Notamacropus eugenii: one gene and its partner. The protein of the gene in region 1 interacts with the protein of each later gene in a pairwise test. Links are inferred from orthologs where the notes say so. Each region holds a gene or a part of one and is shown in the gene's direction. Other genes may lie near its edges.

Region 1 (10,586 bases):
CTTTTCTTGATAATTTCTTGAAAGATGATATCTAGGCTCTTTTTTTTTTATCAAGATTTTAAGGTAGTCCAATAATTCTTATATTATCTTTCCTCAATCCATTTTCTAGGTCAGTTGTTTTCCCAATGAAATATTTCATATTTTCTTCTATTTTCATTCTTTTAAATTTGTTTTCTTATTTCTTGGTTTCACAGAGTCATTAGCTTTCACTTGCCCAATCCTAATTTTTAAAGAATTATTTTCTTCAGTGAATTTTTGTGCCTCTTTTGCCATTTGGCCAATTCTGTTTTTTTAAAGTATTATTTTCTTCATTATTTTTTGGTGCCTTTTTAACCAAACTGTTGACTTTCTTTTCATAATTTTCTTATATAACTTTCATTTGTTTTCCCAATTTTTCTTCTACCTCTTTTATTGGATTTTTAAAATCCTTTTCCTTCCAGGAGTTCTTTCCTTTCCTTCCTGGAATTCTGGTTGGGCTTGTATTAAAATTCACATCTTTCTTTGAAGCTTTGCTTGCAGGTACTTTAACATTGTTATCTTCTTCTGGGTTTGTGTCTTGATCTTTAATCACTATGATTACTTGTTATGGTCATGTTCTTTTGTTTTTTTTTTTTGTTGTTGTTGTTCATTTTCCTTGTCTATTTCTTGACTTTGAACTTTATGTTAAAGCTGGGCTCTGCTCTTGGGATGGAAGTGGCACTGTCTCAAGCTTTAGGCCTTTTTTGCTACTTTTTTTCAGAGATAGTTCTGGGGGGGTCTGTAGGTTTTCAGTGCTTCCAAGGTGCTAAGATCTAAGGAGAGTATAGAACCTGCTCTCCTGGCTTGTGCTTTGGTCTTTACCCAGGAAAGAATTTTGTTCCCCTTTAACCACCACTACTGGCCTGCGATTGTGATCAGGTCCCTGCGTTCCTGAAGTTGCAGACTAGTGCTTCCATTTGTCTTGGAATTGAGATCAGGGTCTCTATTCCCCCAAGAGCACTCCTCTCTGCCCTGGAACCTCAATCAAGGCCCCAGCTTCCCTGTGACCACAGGAGGTATCACTCCTTTTGACCCTTGCACTGTCACTCAGAACTATGTGTGGGCAATGAAAGGGTCCTAAAACCAGGGCCAGCAAAGGGTTACCTGCAATCTCCTGACCAGTTGTCTGATGCCCCTCTCCCAATGGTCTCTAGGCTGAGAACTCCCAAAGCTGCTGCTGCTGCTGCCACCAATATAGTCACCTCCAAGGCTCCTGCTAGTTCTGTAGCATGGAGGGTCTGCATCGTGGAATCTGAACTGTGCTCCAGATCCAACCAACACTCCAGTGAGACAGACCCTTCCTGCCAGCCTCTTAAGTTGTCTTGGGCTAGAAAATTATTTCACCCAACCTTTTGTTGGTTTTGCTGCTCCAGAATTTGATTTGAGATGTTATTTTAGGTTGTTTGGAGGAGAATTTGGGAGAACTTGACTGAATATTTCTCTACTCTGCCATCTTGGCTCTGCCTCTCTCAGAGATTTTCTCAAATGGACAGATTGGAGAATATTTTTTCCCAGCTCATTTGGTGCAAGCCCTCCTCAAGTCACACCTGGATTACTGTAACAGCCTGCTGGTTGATCTCACTTCCTCTCAGCTGTCAAATTGATGTTCCTAAAGAACAGGTCTAACTATTTCATCACTCAGTAAACTTCAATGGCTCCCTATCATCTCCAGGTTCAAATATAAAACCTTTGGTTTGGCTTTTAAAGCCCTTTAAACCCACCTTCCCTTCCAGTTACTTATATCATACATTTCCTCCCCTCCCCACTTTGTAATCCAGTAACACTGACCTCTTTGCTGTTGTTAGAATAAGATATACTCCATCTCCTGAATTCAGGCACTTTGATTGGCTCTCCTCCATGCTTAGAATGCTCCCCCTCTCCATTTCTATTTCCTAGTTTCCCTAGCTTCCTTTAAATCTCAGCTAAAACTCCACTTTCTGCAGAAAACTTTTCCTGATCCACCTTAATTCTACTGCTTTTCCTCTGTTCATTATCTCCAATTTATCCTATATGTGGCTTGTTTGTACATATTTGTTTTTACATTGTTTCTTCATTGGATTATAAGCTCTTTGAGAGAAGGGGTTGTATTTACCTTTCTTTATATCTCCAATGCTTAGCATAGTGCCAGGTACATAGTAGGAACTTAACTAATGTTTACTGACTGATGGATAAAAAGTTTTTTGACAGTTTCCAATTTTTTCTCCAAAGCTTAGTGAGATCTCCCCCAAGCTCCCATCCTGCAAATCTAGCTACCTGCTATATTGTCCTGCTGGCTTCTCAAACTCCAAACATCTAGCACTGAATATCTCATCTTCCACCATAAATCTGCCTCCTTCCAATTTTCTCAGTTCCTATTTATGGTGCTGCTTTCCTCTCAATGATTCAGGTTTGAAACCTCACAGTTATCTTTGACTCTAATCCCTCACTCCATCCCCACCCCCCAACTTCAGATAATAAAGGTCCTGTTGATTTTACTGCCACAATAACTCTAACATCTGTCCTTACCTTTCTTTGCTACTACCCTGGTTCAGGTCCTCATCCTTCCCTTTCTAGCTGGAACACTAATAGTATCCACCTAACTGGTTTCCCTGTTTGCAGGCTTCATTTTTCTAATCAGTCCTCTACACAGTTACAAAAATAATCTTCTTAAAACTCAGGTCTAATGATGTGATTTCTCTGCACAGAACTCTCTAGTGATTTCCCATTGCTTATAGAATGCGAACTCCTTAGCTTGGCATTTAAGGCAATTTATAATCTTGCTCCAACCTACTATTCTTGCCTTATTTCACACTTTTTGCTTCAAGTGAACTACATTCCAGCCAGACAGTATTATTAGCTATTCCTCAATTTGTTTTTACCCTCTTTCACTACAGAACTTTGAAGATCACCAGGGACTGAGCTGTTTAGGGAAGAAAGGCTCCATGGAAGCTGTAGAATGAACTGGACCTTGAAAAATGAACAAGATTTGATCAGACAGAGAGGGGAAAAAGAGAATATCAATGGGCAGGAATTAGAGAAGAAAAGATTTTAGAGGCTAGAAAATGCAAAGGTTTCTAGCTGGGAAGTGATAAAATAACAACAGTATCTCCATCCTTCTGGTCACCCAGGTTTGCAATCTTAGTGTCATCCTCAACTCTTCATTCTTCCTCAGCCCACTTAGTCATTCAGTTACTAAAATTTGTCCTTTTCATGTCTATAACCTCTCTCACTTCCTCTACTAGTCCCCTTTCTCTACTTCTACGGTCACTGGCCTCATTCACCATCACCTTACCTTTTCATTGGACTATTTCGGTCACTTTCTAATTGTTCCCTCTGCCTCAAGTCTCATCTTTCCAATTTCAAGGTTCATACAGAGGCCAATGTGATATTCCCAAAGCACAGATTTGATTATGTCATTCCCTTCTTCCATAAATTGCAAGGGCTCCCTGTAGGATCAAATACAAACTCCTCTCTTTAGAGTTCAAATCCCTTCACAACCTGCTTCCAACCTACTTCCCGGACTGATTAAGATTATTCCCCTTCATGCCTTCTATAGGTCAATTAAACTGGCCTCTTTGCTGTTCCCCACATTACACTCCATCTCCCATCTCAGTGCCTTTGCCCATGCCAGAAAGGACCTTGCCCCCTTCAGTTCTGCCTCTTAGAAATTCTGTCTTCTCGATTAGACTGTTCTCTGCTCCCTTCCACTGGTAGAGCCTCACTTCCAAAATTACCTCTATTTATTTTGTAAATGGCAGCTAGGTAGTGCTGTAGAAAGAATGCCAGGCCTGGAGTCAGAAAGACCTGACTTCAACTGCTACCTCAGACACTTACTAGCTGTGTGACCCTGGGCAAGTCACTTAACCCTGCTTGCCTCAGTTTCCTCATTTGTAAAATAAGCTGGAAAAGGAAATGGCAATCCACTCCAGTACCTTTGCCAAGAAAACTCCAGAATGGGGTCAAGAAGATTGAACACAAGTGTATGATAATTTTGCAAATATGCTGTATGTATTTACGTATATATTATTTCTCTGGTTGATTGACCAAATAACAACAGGCATTTTTTTCTTATAAAATTATATTTATTCAGTCTACAGAAGGTATGTTTGATTATTTGTATGAATCATGTTGCTTATTTTAATATTTTCAATGAACAAAAATCTGTTTCTTCCCCCTCTCCACCTCATTACATTGTGTGCTCCTTGAGGGCAAGGACTCATCAGGCCTTTTTGTGTTTCACCAGCACTTAGCACAGTGCCTGGCACCTAGTAGACAATAAATGCTGACTGACTCCTCTTCCCATTGAAAAGGAAGCAAAAACAAAACCTTTGTAACAAATACACACAGTCAAGCAAAATGAATCCCCACATCAGAAATGTGCAAAAACCCCATATCTCAATCTGTACCCTGGATCTATTACCTTTCTCAGGAAGTGAGGAGCATGTTTCATCATGAGTCATCCAGAACCATGGTTTGTCACTGTAAGAAGCGTTTTTAACTCTTCCTAAGCTATTTGTCTTTGTGATGTTGTTGTTACTGTATACATTGTTCCTCTGGTTCTGCCTACTTCATTCCACATCAGTTAATAGGAATCTTCCCAGGTTTCTCTGAGATTGTCCCCCTTATAAATTTTTACAGTACAGTAGTATTTCATGACATTCATATGCCATAATTTGTTCATCCATTCTCCAATTGATGGGCACTCTCTTAATTTTCTAGCTCTTTGCCAACACAAGAAGATCTTCTATAAAAACTTTATACATACGTATCTCTCACTTCTTTGGGAGTATGGCCCTACTATCAGAGGGAATGCATAAATTAATCAGTTTTGTGGTATAGTTTTAAGTTGCTTTCCAAAATGACTGGACCAGTTCAGAACTCTCCCAATAGTACATTACTGTACCTGTTTCCCCACAGCCCCTCCAGCATTTGTAATATATATATTTTTGGTCAGCCTTGGGTATGAGAACCTCCAAGATGCTCTAATTTGAATTTCTCTATTAATGATTAGGAATATTTTTTCATATGGTTATTTATAGCTTGGACTTTTTCCTCAAAAAAATGACAACAGGCTTTTATTAAGCTACTGCAAGGTGATCAAATCTGTCAGTACTTAAATTAATTCAGACTACTCATTGGAAGGACTGAAACTGAAACTTAAATGCTTTGGCCATAAGAAGAACTCACTGGAAAAGACCTTGGGGTTGGGAAAGATTGAAGGTAAAAAGGGGAGGGGGAGAGCAGAGAATGAGATGGATAGCATTATAGAAACAATAAACATGAGCTTGGATGGACTTTGGGAGATGGTAGAGGACAGAAGTGGCTGGCATGCTACTGTCCATACGTCTTGGATATGACTGAATAAATGAACAATACATGCTCGGTACTGTACCAGGTGCTAGGGATACAGTGACATTTTTTTGTAGATCTTGCCCTCAAGGAACTTACATTCTCTGGGAAGGATATGACATGTACATATAAAATAATTTGAGGAGCGATAGAGTATTAAAAGTTAGGTAACATAGGAAAAAAATTGACCTGGAACATGGCACTGAACTGAGCCTTGAAGGCAGCTAAGACTTTGAAGGAGAGGGGAGAAGTAAATGCATTCCAGGAATGAGGGGCCGCCTATGGAAACACATGAATGTGGGAGTGGACATGCTTGGTCAGTGAAGGAGGCCAGACTGTCTGTGGCCCGGTGGTTCAGGCTCAGGACTGGGATGAACTGAAATGCCTGAAGGCTATATGACCATAAACTAAAGAAATCTACTCAGTAGTGGCCTAGAAAGGATGCTAGTCACCAAGGATACAGCTTGGCTCAGGTGGACCCAGGTCCTTGGAGCTCCCCAGTTTCCCCGGGGACCCCACGCAGTCAGGAAGGTGTATTGTCTCAAGTGGGGGGAGTCTCGCGAAGCTTAGGCCCCCCAACAACTCCTGTCCTAGGCTGTCTTCCTTTACGTGACAGGCGAGTTAAGTCAAAGCCTCAAGCTTTAGTCCTCTCGCAAACAAACGTCCAGAACGGCTTCGCTGCTTTAGGGACGAGGATCTTCCCCCGGTGACGTGCGGCTCTGAATGACCTTGACCTTGGAGCAGGAGGTCAAGGACTAGCCCCGCAGCGGGGCCCGGCCAGGTGCTCGGTCCCCCAGCACTTACTAAACTCTGACGTGCGCCAGGCTTCGAACCAGGACAAGAACGTCCGGCTCTCGTGAAGCTCCCGGCGTGCGGGGAAGGGGCCTGCACGCACCGCTTGTCCGGAGCCGTTTGCGTGCTACATGTATCCATCTGGAAAGAACACGCATGCGTATAGCCCGCAGCTGTTCGCCCGTAACACACAGAGACGTGTATGTGTATGTACACACACGTGCGTGTATCTGTGTATCCACCGGATGAACGGGGGGTAATGTGGGACGGCAGCACCGAGACGGGGAGGAAGGGAAAGGAGCCCAGGCGTGCTGGCTTCACGAGGAGACAGGAATAAACCTTTCTAAAACGAAACTCATTTTGTGGCTTTACCAAAGTCACCAGGCGTCCGTTTCCTCCTTTGTGAAATGGGGGTGGGGTGGGGGTTGAATCGAGGGCGCCGTTTCCTTCGTGTCGGCGTGGGCGGAGCTAAACTGGGAAGGCTTCTCGGAGGAAGCCACCCGGGAAGGGTTAGGGAGAGGCAGGGACGGGCGCTGGCCGGCCCAGCCCCAGCCTCCGAGTGGCCCGAGGCGGAGCGGGTAGACCGGGCCCGCGAGGTTGGGACTGCAGGGCGGGGCCGGGGTGGGTCGGAGAGGGGAGGGCCCAGGCAGGCCCGACACCCCCAGCTCAGTCCTGACCCTGGAGACACCGCCCGGGGGCGGGGCTTCCGGTGGCGGCGCAGGAGGGGTTGGGGGGGGGGTCACCAGGACGTCCCGTGACTCTGGGAGGACGGCGCGTCACATGACACGGAAGTGACTTGGAACAGGAAGAGGACGAAAAAAACACCGTCCGCAGCCCCAAGCCGAACCGGACCCGCCGCCGCCATGAACAGCAAAGGCAAGAGCGGACAGGGGGCGAAGCCGGCGGGGCAGGGCCGGGGGCCGGCCGGCCGGGGGCCTCGGGGAGCCGTAGGCCCGGACGGGGGCCGGCCGCCTTCGTCGCTGAGGGGCCAGGCCCCGGGCCCGCGTCGCGCTCGCTCCCGGTCGAGGCCCCGAGCCACGGCCGCTCGCCCCCTCCCTGAGCTTTTTCCCTTAAAGCCTGTGGCGCAGTTCTGAGCTGCAGGGGGGCCGGGGCGGGATGGGCAGGCCGCGAGGCCAATGGGGAGCGAGGGCTCCGATGGGGCTTGGCCAATGAGAAGCCGGACGGGGGCGGGACCGAGAGCTGCCTGGTGACGGGCGCCCCCCATCCCTCCTCCGGCCTGGGGGAGCTGGAGGGGGAGCGTCGGTGCCTTTGGGGGAGGGCTGGGCTCTAGGGGCCGCGGTCTGGGGCTGCTCGCTTTGCTGCCGGCCTCCCTTTTCTTGATAGCTGTGAATGTGTCGGTTAAATCGGCCCAGCACCGGCGCGAGCCCCCTCCGGGGGTCGGGGCGCCCTCCGCCCCTCTCCCTGGATTGTTCTATTGTCTGGGAAGCCCTTCTAACGGGGCCTGGCCGGGGAGGGGAAGGAGCCCAGATTGGGGTTCAGGTCTGAGGCCCACCGTGTGACCTTGGGCAAGTTACTCCACTTCCCGGATCCAGAGTGCCCTCTAACCATTAGGCTCCCAATAACGACCAATAATTGTCACTATAGGTGGCATTTGGATAGTCTGGTAAGGAGTGCGGACCGGTCAGCTTACCTGGGCCTCAGTTTACTCCTCTGTAAAACAGTGGCAAAGTCGGTTGACTTATTTTTCGCTTTTTAAAGCAAAATGTTTATTTGTAAATGACATTCGCATTTAACAGAACTGGACGCAAACCCTTTTTACAAATTAAAAGGGATAGGGATGTGGCTTCTTCCATTGCTTTTAGGCTAATACTCGGAAGTAATTAACACCTGCCTCCCAGATTTGTCTTAAGGATCGAATGAAATGAGAAGTGTAAAGTGCTTTGCAAACCCTCAAGGGTTTGCAGTGATTTCTTGTTATTATTTGGCCCTCACCACGATTCTACGATGTAGGTGCTGCTGTTTTCCCCATTTTATGCAGATGAAGGAACTTGAGGCACAGAAAGGTGAAGTGATCTGTCCAGGGTTATGACAGGATTTGAGCTCCGAGCTTTGGCTCCTTGTCCAGTGCTCTAGATAAGATAATTGGCTTAGGTGATCCTAGGTCCCTAAGGTCTATTCCATTTCAAGATCCTCTTATTCTTCCCTGGTGGGGGAAAACCGCTGGTGTGGTGGTAGGCCATGATGGGCTTTGGAAGTTGTGCTGGAGTTACAGGATATATATGCAAATCCTGGCTCAGACATTTATTAGCTGTGTGACCTTGGGTATGTCATTTAAGGTTTCTGGGGCTCAGTTTCCTCATCTGTAAAATCAGGGATTTGGACCATTTCTATCTCTTAATCTATGTATGATCTAGCGGCTTCTGCATCTGCTAAATCTCCTCTTTCTGAAGTTGACCTTGAAGGTCATTGTAGACCTTTGGATCCAGGCAAGAAACCCATCCAAATCTAGACACCTGACTAGGATGATTAGTAAGGCCAACCCTGGAGCCAGGGATCCCTTACTAATTGATATGAGTACATCCCATCTCCTATCCTTACCGGTACCTAGAAGTCCTCCAGCTTCAGAGAGAGCCGAGAATAATCAGAAGAGTTCCTATTCATAAGGTGTTTTCCTTGAAACTGACTGGACACACTCCCCCCGCATATTCCTGTAGAGTAGATTGTACAATTCCCAGCCTGGGCCTATCAGAATCCCTAATCTGTAGCTGCAAGATAGTACCTTCTTCCCCCTTCCCCTGTTTGTTCCGCTGCATCATCCCTTTCCAAGCTGTTTGTCAGACCCCACTTCTAGGGGTCTGCACAGCTGTGTGAGTCTTTGGGCAGCGTGCCCTCTCTCTGGCCACATATGATTCCACTACACGTGCCTTTTTGTGTCTTCTAGGGCAGTATCCAACGCAGCCCACATACCCTGTGCAGCCTCCTGGAAATCCAGTGTACCCTCAAACCATGCATCTCCCTCAGGTTCCACCATACACGGATGCACCTCCAGCCTATTCTGAGGTAAGAGTGTCAAGATTTTTAGGTGTTGGAGCAGGCCGAAATCATGTGCCACCATTGCCCTGTCTTTATAGAGGGTTAGAATTTCAGAAACAGTGGCATGAATGAAAAAAATCATTGCTATTGGGTTGAAGATGTGTTATCTAATGAAAGCCCTGGGTAGGGGGTAGTGAGAGCAGAGCAGTATGGGAGGGGGGAGGTGATGATGGTGACTGTAACAACCCTGACATCTCTCCTTAGGCTCTCCCTCATTGGGGAGAGGGTCTTGAGAGCAGGCTCAGAGGTAGGGGGAGGGAGGCTATGATTAAGACATTTGCTGGCTTCATAAGTGACATAGTTTCTACTGGAGAATTGAACGTTGACTATTAAAATACAAAATAAATACCGTAGGAAATAAACTGGTTTTTTCTTCTGCCCCTTTTTAGCTCTATCGTCCAAACTTTGTGCACCCAGGGACTGCAACAGTTCCCACTATGTCAGCTGCATATCCTGGTGCTTCTTTGTTTCTTCCCATGGGTCAGTCTGTGGCTGTTGGGCCTGTTGGCTCTGCTGTACCACTGGCTTACTATCCACTTGGTCACGTATACCCCCCGGGTTCAACAGTGCTGGTGGATGGAGCATATGATCCTGGTGCCAGGTTTGGAGCTGGGGCTACTGCTGGGAACATTCCTGTGAGTATGACTAGAAAACACTGGGTCTTTCCTGGTGCTGCATGTTTGCCTCTAAGCATCCCAATGTCCTGAGTTGCTAAAACCTCAAACTTCTCTTTCATGTTGAGTATTACCCCATGACCTTGGACAAGTTGCTTAACTAGGCCTCAGTTTTCTCATCTATAAAATGAGGGGGCTGGGCTAGATATCCTTTAAGCCTCTTTTCAACTCTAAATCTGTGGTCCTGATCCTGGAATCCCTCCAGCATCCCTGGGCAGTGATTGTCGACAGTTTACACCCACCTGTGAGGCAGGTATCAAGGGGGGGGAGGTGAAAGGAGAACCTCTAGCAGCAATAACCTGGTAATTAATTGTAGCTGACAATCTCTTTTTCTAAACCTAGACCCCTTTACCCTATCCTCCTGATTTTCAGATTTGGGGCTATTTCCCAGTTCATCTAAGAGTGAAAGAAGGAGCAGTTTAAATTGGTTTAACGAAAGTTTGCCTTTACTCAGTAGGCATTTAACTTACTACCAACCGTGGCCACAGTTCTGCACAATCTTATCTTCAGGTTGTTTCCAGGAGGTTGGCATTTTTTGGTTTAATTGTTTCCAGATTATCTGGGAATTTGTCTTCCATGTATCCATTAAAAAGGGAAATTTGGAACTGGTCAAACTTTTCTTAAGTAACTCTGCACCAACAGTGACAACCATGGTCATATCAGCATCTTTGTACGCACCCAAGAGGTATCTATGTCTCTGAGAAAGGAAAGTTCTTAAGC
Region 2 (10,101 bases), on another chromosome or scaffold:
CTTTTCTTCAGTTGTTTGATAAAATTCACTTCTAATTCTTTATGGTCCTGTTTTTTTCTGTATGAATTATTTGTGGATCATTCAATTTTTTTCTGTTATTGAGTTATTTAAGTTCTTTGTTTCTCATTCTATTAATTTGGAATTTTTATGTTAATAAAGTATTCATTTAAGTTGCCAGTTTTATTGGCATATATAGTTAGGCAAAATAGTTTCTAGTAACTTACTTTTTTTCTTTTTTTGTTGTGAATTCTTATTTTTCATTTTTGACACCAGTAATTTGATTTGATTACTTAAAATAAATGAGCACTACACAAATATCTAGAAATCTATGTTTCATTATAACTGGAGAATGCTCTTAACAACTCAATAGGGCTTTCAATAGCACTGGTCTTTATCAGGATGATACCAACACCAATCTTTCCAGGCCTTCAAGAGTTTTTCCCAATGCATTATTAATGACACTTTTATATTCTGTTCTATTTCCTTGCCTCTCCACCATCATCAAATACTTACTATTTTTCCCCTCACTTCCTACTGAGGACCCTATTCCCTGAAAGCTTTTTTGCAATGTCTCTAACCTGTCTGATTTCTTTTCTGAGTAGATTAAGATGGGCATTAGAAGCAGTGTGAGGAAGTAAAAAGAATCTTTTCTCTCCAAACCTCTCACATTGATTTATGTTGGTTAAAATTTTATTTAGTTTAATTTTTTAAATTTTTAAAAGCTTTTTTATGTTATTTGATTTAAAACAATGTTTATTTAGTCCGATTTTTATTTTTCTCAACTGTTCTATGTGCTAAATTATCCTTATGGCACAAAATATTTATTTCTTGAGATTATTAAGTTAAAACCATGAAGAAATTCAGAATAAAAGACATGTCAACAAAATTCACTATATTTTTATTTGTATTTGAGAGGGTCATTAGCTCTCCTCTACTCCATGTTTTCTGAAATCAAATCAGTGATAACAAATAATAAAAGTAGCTTGTTTTCTCTGTATTAAGAATACTATATGTGAATTTTCCTTTCTAGATAACCATAGATATTAGTATTTTATATACTCCCATTCTCAATGAATGTAATCCAGTCTAACAAGTATTTATTTAGAACTATGTGTAAGAAAGGCACTGTTTTAGAGATACAAAGAAAAAAATGAAATAGTCCCTGTACTTAAGAAAATTACATTCTACTGGAAGACCCAATATATATTTAATACATAATACAAAGCACAACCAATCAATATACATTTTATGTCAGGCACTGTGCTAAGCACTAGGGATGCAAAAAAGTTTTATTTTGGCACTTAGTTTATCTATCTATATTTATCTATATCTAGCTATCTAGATAAACATATAAGCTAATATAAAGATATAGAAAGCATGGTCTCCTTCAGGATGTGACACCTGAGCTGAGCCTTAAAATAAACTAGAATTCTAAGAAGCTGAGGTGAAAAGGGATTGTATTGCAGGGAAAGCCTGTGCAAAGGCACAGAGAGAGTGTGTGGGATGCTGAGTTCCAGGAACTACTAGTAAGTCATTTTATCTAGAATGTAGAACATTTGAATGACAGTATTATAAAATAAGTCTGGAAAAGTGAATAGGAGACAAACTTTTTAAGTTTAAGTTTTAAGTGTCCATTTTTTTTTTTGTTTTGTCTTTTATCCTAGAGGTAACAAGAAGACACTGACAATTTTTGAGCAAGGGAGTGACATAGTTAGACCTGTGTCTTAGGAACATTAATTATCCAGTTGTATGGAGGATGGATTGGAGGGGGGAAGAGATTGGAAGTAAGGATATCAAATAAGAGGCCATAGGAAGAACCAAGTTAACAGATGAATTGATGAGATGCCCATCCAATTTGAACGTAATGGAAACAGGAATAGCTAACATGCTGGCTGACATAGTAAGGATCTAAAAGCATTTCAATAGATTTAAATAATGAATGGTACACAGCAAAACGAAATTTAATAAGGATAAATATAAAAACAGACTTGGATTGAAAAAATATCAGTATCCCAAGTCAGATAGAAAAAGCATGGTTAGACAGCAGATTGTCTAAAAAAGATCAGGGGGTTTTGGTGGACTGCAAGTTTAATATGAATCAGCAGCGTAATGTGGCAAAATGAATCATTAAAGAGATGGTGAGAGAACATCTCGAAAAGGAAGTAGTAATTATAAAATGCCTTCATGGCTCATGAAGAACAGGTCATGACAGACTAATCTTATTTTCATTTTGACAGAGTTAGTAAGCTAGAAGATTAGGGAAATGGTGGAGTTAGACCAGCTAGATTTTAGCAAAGCGTTTCAAGAACTTCCTATTATGATTGTGGAAAATATGGAGTTACAGCAGATGAAATAACAATGCCATTAGACAGACTTGGAAATGGATGACTAGTCTCCAAGAATACTTACTGGTTTAATGTCACTTTGACCAAAGGTCTCCAGTGGGTGGCAAAGGAACCTACGGCTGGCTTTGTGTATTTGTATTTATTTTATTGATTTAAATAAGGGCAGAGATGGCATGCTTATCAAAATTGCAGGTGACACAAAGCTGGGCAAAATAACTAACACAATATGTGACAATATCTAAAAGGATCATGCCAATCTAGAGATTTGGGATAAATTTAATAAGATGAAATTCAATAGAGACAAAAGTGAACTTTTTACATCTAGGTTCAAAAAATCAACTTTACAAATATAGAATGGGTAAGCCACAGTTAGACAGTAGTCTGTCTGAAAATTATCTGGGTCTTCAAAATGAATCAGGAGTGAGATGGGCAGCAGAAGAAAAAAAGAAAATATGATCTTGAGTCATATAATAACTAAAATTTCAACAGCTCTCTATTATGAGCCAGGCACTGTGCCATGTGCTTTACAAATATCTTATTTGATCCTTATAACAACTTTAGGTGACATTTTTTTTATGAGAAAACTGAGGCAGACAAAGGTTAAACGACTTGTGCAAGATCCCATACCTCATAAAGGTCTGAGGCTGGATCTGAGCTCAGACTTTCCTGACTCCAGGCCCCTTGCTCTATCCATGTTACCACCTAACTGCCTAATTAGCAGATACATAGATTCCAGAAATAAAAACTTGATCCCCTTTCTGTACAATGACGTGGTCATACTGCACCTGGAAGTACTATGATCATTTCTGAGCATTGTAATTTAAAGACCTCAATAAACAGGAGAGCACCCAGAGGAGAATGAAGCACTTCAAGTATGTGCCATATGAGAATCACTTTTAAGGAAGTGGCTTGTTTAGACTGTTAAGAGAAGACTGAAGGGACACATAACTGTCTTCAAGTATTGGAAAGAATATTTAGCCTGGAAAAGAGAAGACTTGCAGAGGAAATATTAAAGCTGTTTTCAAATATGTGAAGGATTGTCACATGGAAGAGGCATGAGACTTCTGTTTGGCTCTAGAGGCTTGCACTAGAAGTCTAGGCAGAAATTGTAAAGAGGCCTATATGAACAACATAAGGATTCTTAATAATTAGAGTAGTTTGAAAGTGAAATGACTTGCCTTAGGAATACTTTGGGGAATCCATTGAAAGGTTGGACCCCAAAAGTAATGATTATTGGTTTGATGGAATAGCTAATGTGCAGAGTGCTCACTTTGGTCTCTGTAAGACCTCAGTTCAAATCCTAACTCAGACCTGTACTAGCTACGTCACCCTGGACAAGTAACGTTTTTGTGCCTCAGTTTCTTCATCTGTAAAATAAGGAAGTTCGATTTGATAGCCTCTAAGGTTTCTTCTAGTTCAAAATTTATGACCTACGTCAACTTGGAATACACTCTCCAGTTGGAGTGGCACCACGGTATTGTTTGTGCCTGGGCAGTTATACATTTTTTTATTAGTGACTTGGATAAAGGTGTGTGTGTGCACATGCATGCGTGTGTGTTTGTGTGTGTGTGTGTGTGTGTGAATCTCAAATGTGTAGACTACACAAAACCAGGAGGGGTAGCTAACACATTGGATGATAGTCAGGATCCAATATGTGAAGGATTTTCATGTGGAAGAGTAATGATTAATTACTGGTTCTGTTTGGACTTAGATGGTGGCAGTAATGGGTAGAAATAGCCAAGAGGCAAATTTAGGTTTTGATGTAAGGGAAAACTTCCTAATGAAATATCCAAAGGTGGAATAGGATGCTTTGGGAGGCAATTGGATTACCTTTATTACCATATACATACACATATATGTGTGTATACTATATTAGACTAAACAACCTTTGTTTGAAGATCTCCAATGAAGGTAATCCTTATATATGTGTGTATATATAGAGAGACTCATTATATACATATATATATGTGTACATACACACATATATGTATATAATGAGGAGACCTTTCAGATTTCTGACTTTGTCTCCAATCATTTCAGAGATTCTATAGTAGCTCCCCTCTAACTGGAATTCTTCAAAAAAGTCTGACTGCTTTTCCATAAAATTATTCTATCCCAATATACACCTAAAACTCTTCCAGTAGCCTTTCTTTTCCCATTTCTTTAATCCCAACAGCACCCTCACCTCTGCCGCATAAACTTCTCAAGGTTCTCCAGGGGTGAACCTGTTCAGACTGTAGTTTTTGAGATTTTTTTCTTTCTTTTGATTTTCATCACTATAGATATATATATAAATATATAGACATAGATATATAACAGTTTTGCTATTTAGTAGCAGCCCAGGCATTCCTGCTTTTTCCAGCAGCAGTTTCATGTGGTGCAAAGGAAGTCCAAGACCTTGGACAAGTCACTTCCCTACATATAAAACGTAGATCTAAATTCTGATTCTTCCGTTAACATTTTTTTAATCTTATTTGTAGTGGACTGAGTTAAAGCCATTACCTAAGAGGCTTCTTAGGGGGAAGGGTGGAAGGAAAATGCCCACTCATAAACAAACAAACAAGCAAATCCCTAATATCTCCTATGGCGCCCATTTTCCCGTGGTCCCCCTAGTCGAGAGCCGGCCAGTGAGGGAATTGGGCCATTGGCTAACGGATGGGGTTACGCCTTACAAAGGAGGAGTACCTACGTGTGTCGTAGGGCTATTTCTGTCGATGTCAACTAAATATGGCTAGTCTGGAGCTTTCGTTCTCTCTCGTGGGGACTTTAGCCTACAGCTCGGTGCCAGAGGGACTTCCCCGTCAGAAGCAAGGCGTCAGCTTCCGTTTCCCTTAAGGCAGGCGGGCGGGCTGAGGAGAGCGCATGCGCCCGCGTGCGCCCCGCCGTTAATTGGCTGGCCGGCCTCGTCCTTCCGCCAAGGCCCCGAAGGGGCGGGACCTGTGAGCCCGCCGTTTCCCGGGGCGACGGGGGCGGAGGCGACAGGAAGGCGAAGCTGCGGTTGGCCGCCGCGGAATGGACACGCTAGGGGTGGAGCCGGAGGAAGAGGAGGACGAGGACGACGAAGAAGAAGACGAGGAGGAAGACACTATGGACTCTCAGCTCTTAGGGGCGGCAGGAGGCTCTCAGAGCGCCACGGGGCCCGTGGAGGCCGTCCGCCTCGCTCCTTGTAAATGAAATGAGAGCGGCTGCGGGGAGAGGGGGAAGGGCCTCGGCCCGCCGGGGGGCGGGGGGCGGGGGGCGGAGGGCGCGGCCCCGCCCCAGGGCAGACTCCCCGGGAAGGGCTTCCGCCGAGAGGTCCCAGGGCCCACCCCCCGGCTCTGGCCCAGAGGAGGGCTGGAGTGAGCCCCAGGGGCTGCCGGGATGTCCTGTGGAGGGTGGAGGGTATTTTTACTTCTCCACGTGTTAGGCAAGCGAGGGTGCATTAACAAAAACATTTTTTAAACTTATTTATAAAAAAAAAAAATCCGAGACACGAAAGGCCCTCCCACCAAGTTCAAGGTTTGAGCAGCTGTGACGTCCCGCCCCGGTCCACGCGGGAGCTGGTCTGTTGCCCGCGTGGCTCTGGGGAGGGATGATGAGATGGGTCCTGCGGGGGCAGGGCAGGCAGGGGCAGGGCTTGTGGCCCCGGGGCGGGGTGCCCTTCCCCGCCCGCTTCACCCCACCCACGGCCTGGCGATTGGAGAGATCTGGCTGGGTTGTGGCTTGGGGCAGGCAGGGCGGCCTCTCCTGGGCCCTTATCGCCCCTTTGCCTGAGCTTTCAAGTCTGCTCGTGGGGATGTTCAGCTCTAAAACACACAGCTCTTGTTCCCCGCCATTTGGACCCTGACGTTAGCCACGTGGGCCGAGTATAGTGAAGTGCGTGAGGAATCAGGTTCCCCTAGTTCCGTGGAAATTATCTAAATCACTTCATCTTCCTTCCAGGAGGGTATTTATGTTTTATGATTTTTTTTCCCTTTTTCGGAATTAAGCAGTTGTGCTAAATTGTATAGATGTCAGGTAAAAGTTGCTTTTTTGTTTTTTTAATCCATTGGAGTATTCTGAAAACTATAACTTAAAACCTTGGCTCATAGGGTAAGTCAGGGAAAGACAAAACTGTTAAGCCTGGCAGACCACACTTTTGTTATTCACCATCTTTTACCACCACCCTACCCTGTTAGCCTAGGGTCAGGAGTCTGAAAATATTTTGCATTCCTTTGCATGTGGTGCAGCAGTTCATGGTCAAGTTGTGCCGGCAGAAAGTGCCTCCTACAGAGTCATAGTACACGTGGATCTGGATTGCTTTTATGCACAAGTAGAAATGATCTCTCATCCGGAATTAAAAGGCAAACCTTTAGGTATTTCTGGACTTACATATTTTCTTTCCCTTTCTATATTTAAGCACTAAATCTGTTAGAATTGCTTTTTTGTTGTTACTGTGTTCCATTCCATTCCATTTTACTCAGCTTAGTATTGTAAAACTTTAAAAGTGATTCCTGTACTGTAATAAGTAGTAATGAAGGGGATATGAATTTTATAATCATTACTTTATAAATGGATCATCTGAAGCAAAGAGAGCAAGAAATTTAGATATGGGCACATACACTTGTCAGTGCAAAACCAATAAATAGCTTAGTTTTATTTCTGGATGGACCTTCAGGCCTAGCTGGTTTCACTGCTTACTTCCTATTTGCATTCATAAGTAAATTATTTGAATTTGTTTCCCACCCTAAAATGTGAGAATAACTACTACTTCTGTTATTATTTGGTTGATGTGATCTAGTCATTCAAAAATTTTTATTCAGTGCCTTATGTGTATAATGCACTATTAGGTACTAAGAGAGATAAAAAAAAAAAATGAAACAGCATGCTCTTCAAATTTCTTCTGGGGAAGAAATGATTCCTGATAAATATCAGATATTATTGTCACTTCTAATCACCAGAAGGTTGGCCACCTGATGGTGAAATTTTTTGGCCATGGCAACTCTTGCAATGACCAAAAATATAAAATGGTCCTCGGCCCTGAATATCCTTTTTTCCTGGCTAAAAGGGATAGCAGATACTCAAAATTAACTGGTTCTAGACCATCTACAAATGTTCACTGAAATTTTGTTTAAATGATTTTTTAAAAACAAATTTGGAATTTGTCAAAGTCATTGTCATCAACAGTAATTTATTGAACCCCTTATCTGGGCTGGGCCCTTTGCTGTTTTATATAAAACAGTATAAAACACAATCCTTGTACTTGAAGTTCAGGATATTTGCACTTTTAAAAATTAACCACAGGTAGTGTTGTTGAATTTGGAATAAATAAACACAAGACTACATAGTTAAAACCAGAAGAATTTGCTTCAGATTTTGACTCTGCCGTTCACTAGCTGTGTGACCTTCCTTAGTTATTTTCTCATGACCTTCATTCCTTCATGAAATACAAAGGTTGATTTGATCAAGCGGTTGTCATACTTTTTGAACTTAGGATCTCTTTATATTCTTAAAAATTATTGAGGACCCCAAAGAGCTTTTATGTGGGTTATATCTCTTGATAATGTATTAAAAATTAATATGTCTAAGTATTATAATGGGAATAGTTTTGGCCTTGTGGATCGCCTGAAGAATACCTCCAAAGTTCACAGGACCATACTTGGAAGAATCAATCTTTAAAAGTTTTAGTTCTGACATAGATGAGTGTAAGTTTACCATGTAGGCCGAAAGTTCTGCAGAAGTAGATGGTTTTGTGAAAGATAAAGGCAATGCAGAGCCATTCATTGCAATTGGGAAATTGAGTTTGTTGGGGGGAAGGGAGTAAGTATTTATATAGCATCCACTACGTGCCAGACACTGTGCTAAGGACTTTATAAATCTTCTTTCATTTGATCCTCACAACAAAGCTAGAAAGTAGGTGCTGTTAGTATCCCCATAGTACAGTGGAGAAAACTGGCAGGCAGATAATGACCTACCCAGGGTTACATAGCTATTAAGTTCCTGAGACTTGATTTGAATTCAGGTCTTTCTGAAATCAGGCCCAAAAATTCCAGTCTGCCACCAGCTGCATCTTGTATTTCAGCCTAATTGTTACTTAATATTTGAATAGAACTTGCTGAATTTTGAAAAGTATTTTACTCATAGAAAATGTTTAATAAATATTTGTTGAATTTATGAATGAGAATGAGGTCTTCAAAATGGAATTTGGAATTCCATAAGCATACTCTAGGGAAACATTTTAGGCAACTGTAAAATTCCATTTTAAACCATATAAAAAAAGATCCATGTTAAATTATGAAGCAACTATCATATTTTTCATGTGGTCCTTAAGCAAATTGTTTTAAACAAGAGTTCATAAAAGCATAGTAAACTTTTGCAGCTGAAGAATGACTAGTCATTCCTCTTGGGGAAAATAAAGAAATTAAATAATATGTTTTGCTTCAACTTGCTGTGCTTCATACTACTTTAATCTTTTGTAAATTGCTAGCTAGGCAAAGTAGTTTGTTTTTATCATTAAAAGTTTAGGAATAATTTAGCTGTAATTGTCTTCTATAACACAATTTATATCTGAAGATGGTTCCCTGGCTGAAATATTTACTGTAAAACTTATGTAGCCTTCAAAAAATTGGTAAAACTGAGTTTTTAATATGGTATGCTGCTGATTACAATTTCTTTTCACCTTTTGCTTCCCCCTTGACCTGTAACTCTTCTTGAATACCTTACCTTTGCTGTATAGTCCAACAAAGAAGCAAGTTTAGTAATCAGAATGGGGCAGAGCATCTCTAATAATTATGACAAGCCAGTACTTGAAATAGAATACTCCCTTATGCAGTGTCAAAATGTTCAGAAGATGAAAGTGATTTTTTACTAGCAGCAACTAGCAATTTTGTTTGACAGTTCTTCCAGTTATGAACATTTTTAATAGAGCATAGCCTATGATTATTAGTTAAGAGTAAAGTTAATTCCATCTCTGTACCATATGAGAAAATATTAGAAATCTTTTATTCACATTTCACGAAAGAAAACACCTCCAGAAAAAGGTGGCTTTTGGTCATAGGCTGTTAAGAAACCCCCAAATACAGAACAAAGTACTTCTCTCATCTGTGAAACTAGTTCATGTATTAGTGTTTCGTGCTTTGTGTTATAATGCATGTGAGAATGGTGCACTTTCCACTATTATAGTTAGTATCTCAGTATATCTAAAGGGAAGCAGTATAGAGAAATGAGTAGAGAGGTGTCTTGGAAGCCAGGAAAACTTATCTCTGAAAGTTAATGGCACTGTGATCCCGAGCAAGTCACTAAACTTCTCAGTGCTAAGACAACTTTAGTTATGAGAGAAAAGGTGCTGACGTACATGGTAGAGGTAGTTTTTTCACCTTTGTGTTTTCTACTAATGAAATGACACATACAATTCCTGTCCCTCTTTAATTCTTAATAGCTACAGAGTTTTAACTTAATTCCAATTTTCTCTGAAACATAACACCCAGAGACTGTGATTAGCTAATAAAAATTCAGTTTGGACGTTTAATTTAGAGTATTATTGGAACATTTTGGTACCTTAAAAACCTTTATGAGTAGTTAATAGCTTGAGATACCAGTGTTTCTATTTCTTACAACTTTACTAATGAAAAGAGGTAATAGTTCTAAATTGAGCACTTGGAGATTTTTATTACCAAAGTTTTGCACTATATTATAAAAAATGTAATTAAAAAAATTTTAACAGGTGATTCCTTTCCATCTTGCTGAATTTTCCCCTAACACTGTTTTCCCCATAGGTGTTCAGCAAAAATATTTGGTT

Evidence for each region.
Region 2: the proteins of DAZAP2 (region 1) and POLI interact in binary tests that used the Homo sapiens proteins (3 or more experiments, as listed by UniProt). The two-hybrid records come from large-scale screens. The link is inferred for Notamacropus eugenii from reciprocal best matches to the Homo sapiens genes DAZAP2 and POLI.

Annotation. Positions count from the first base shown.
Region 1 is NC_092874.1:223,613,995-223,624,580, forward strand, and holds the start of DAZAP2 (DAZ-associated protein 2), read left to right. Parts: upstream 1-6,816; 5' UTR 6,817-7,001; coding exon 7,002-7,014; intron 7,015-7,372; exon of another isoform or gene 7,373-7,762; intron 7,763-9,040; coding exon 9,041-9,159; intron 9,160-9,581; coding exon 9,582-9,827; intron 9,828-10,586. UniProt on the Homo sapiens protein: In unstressed cells, promotes SIAH1-mediated polyubiquitination and degradation of the serine/threonine-protein kinase HIPK2, probably by acting as a loading factor that potentiates complex formation between HIPK2 and ubiquitin ligase SIAH1.
Region 2 is NC_092875.1:436,980,540-436,990,640, reverse strand, and holds the start of POLI (DNA polymerase iota), read left to right. Parts: upstream 1-5,357; coding exon 5,358-5,511; intron 5,512-5,609; exon of another isoform or gene 5,610-6,270; intron 6,271-6,553; coding exon 6,554-6,679; intron 6,680-10,078; coding exon 10,079-10,101. UniProt on the Homo sapiens protein: Error-prone DNA polymerase specifically involved in DNA repair. Plays an important role in translesion synthesis, where the normal high-fidelity DNA polymerases cannot proceed and DNA synthesis stalls. Favors Hoogsteen base-pairing in the active site.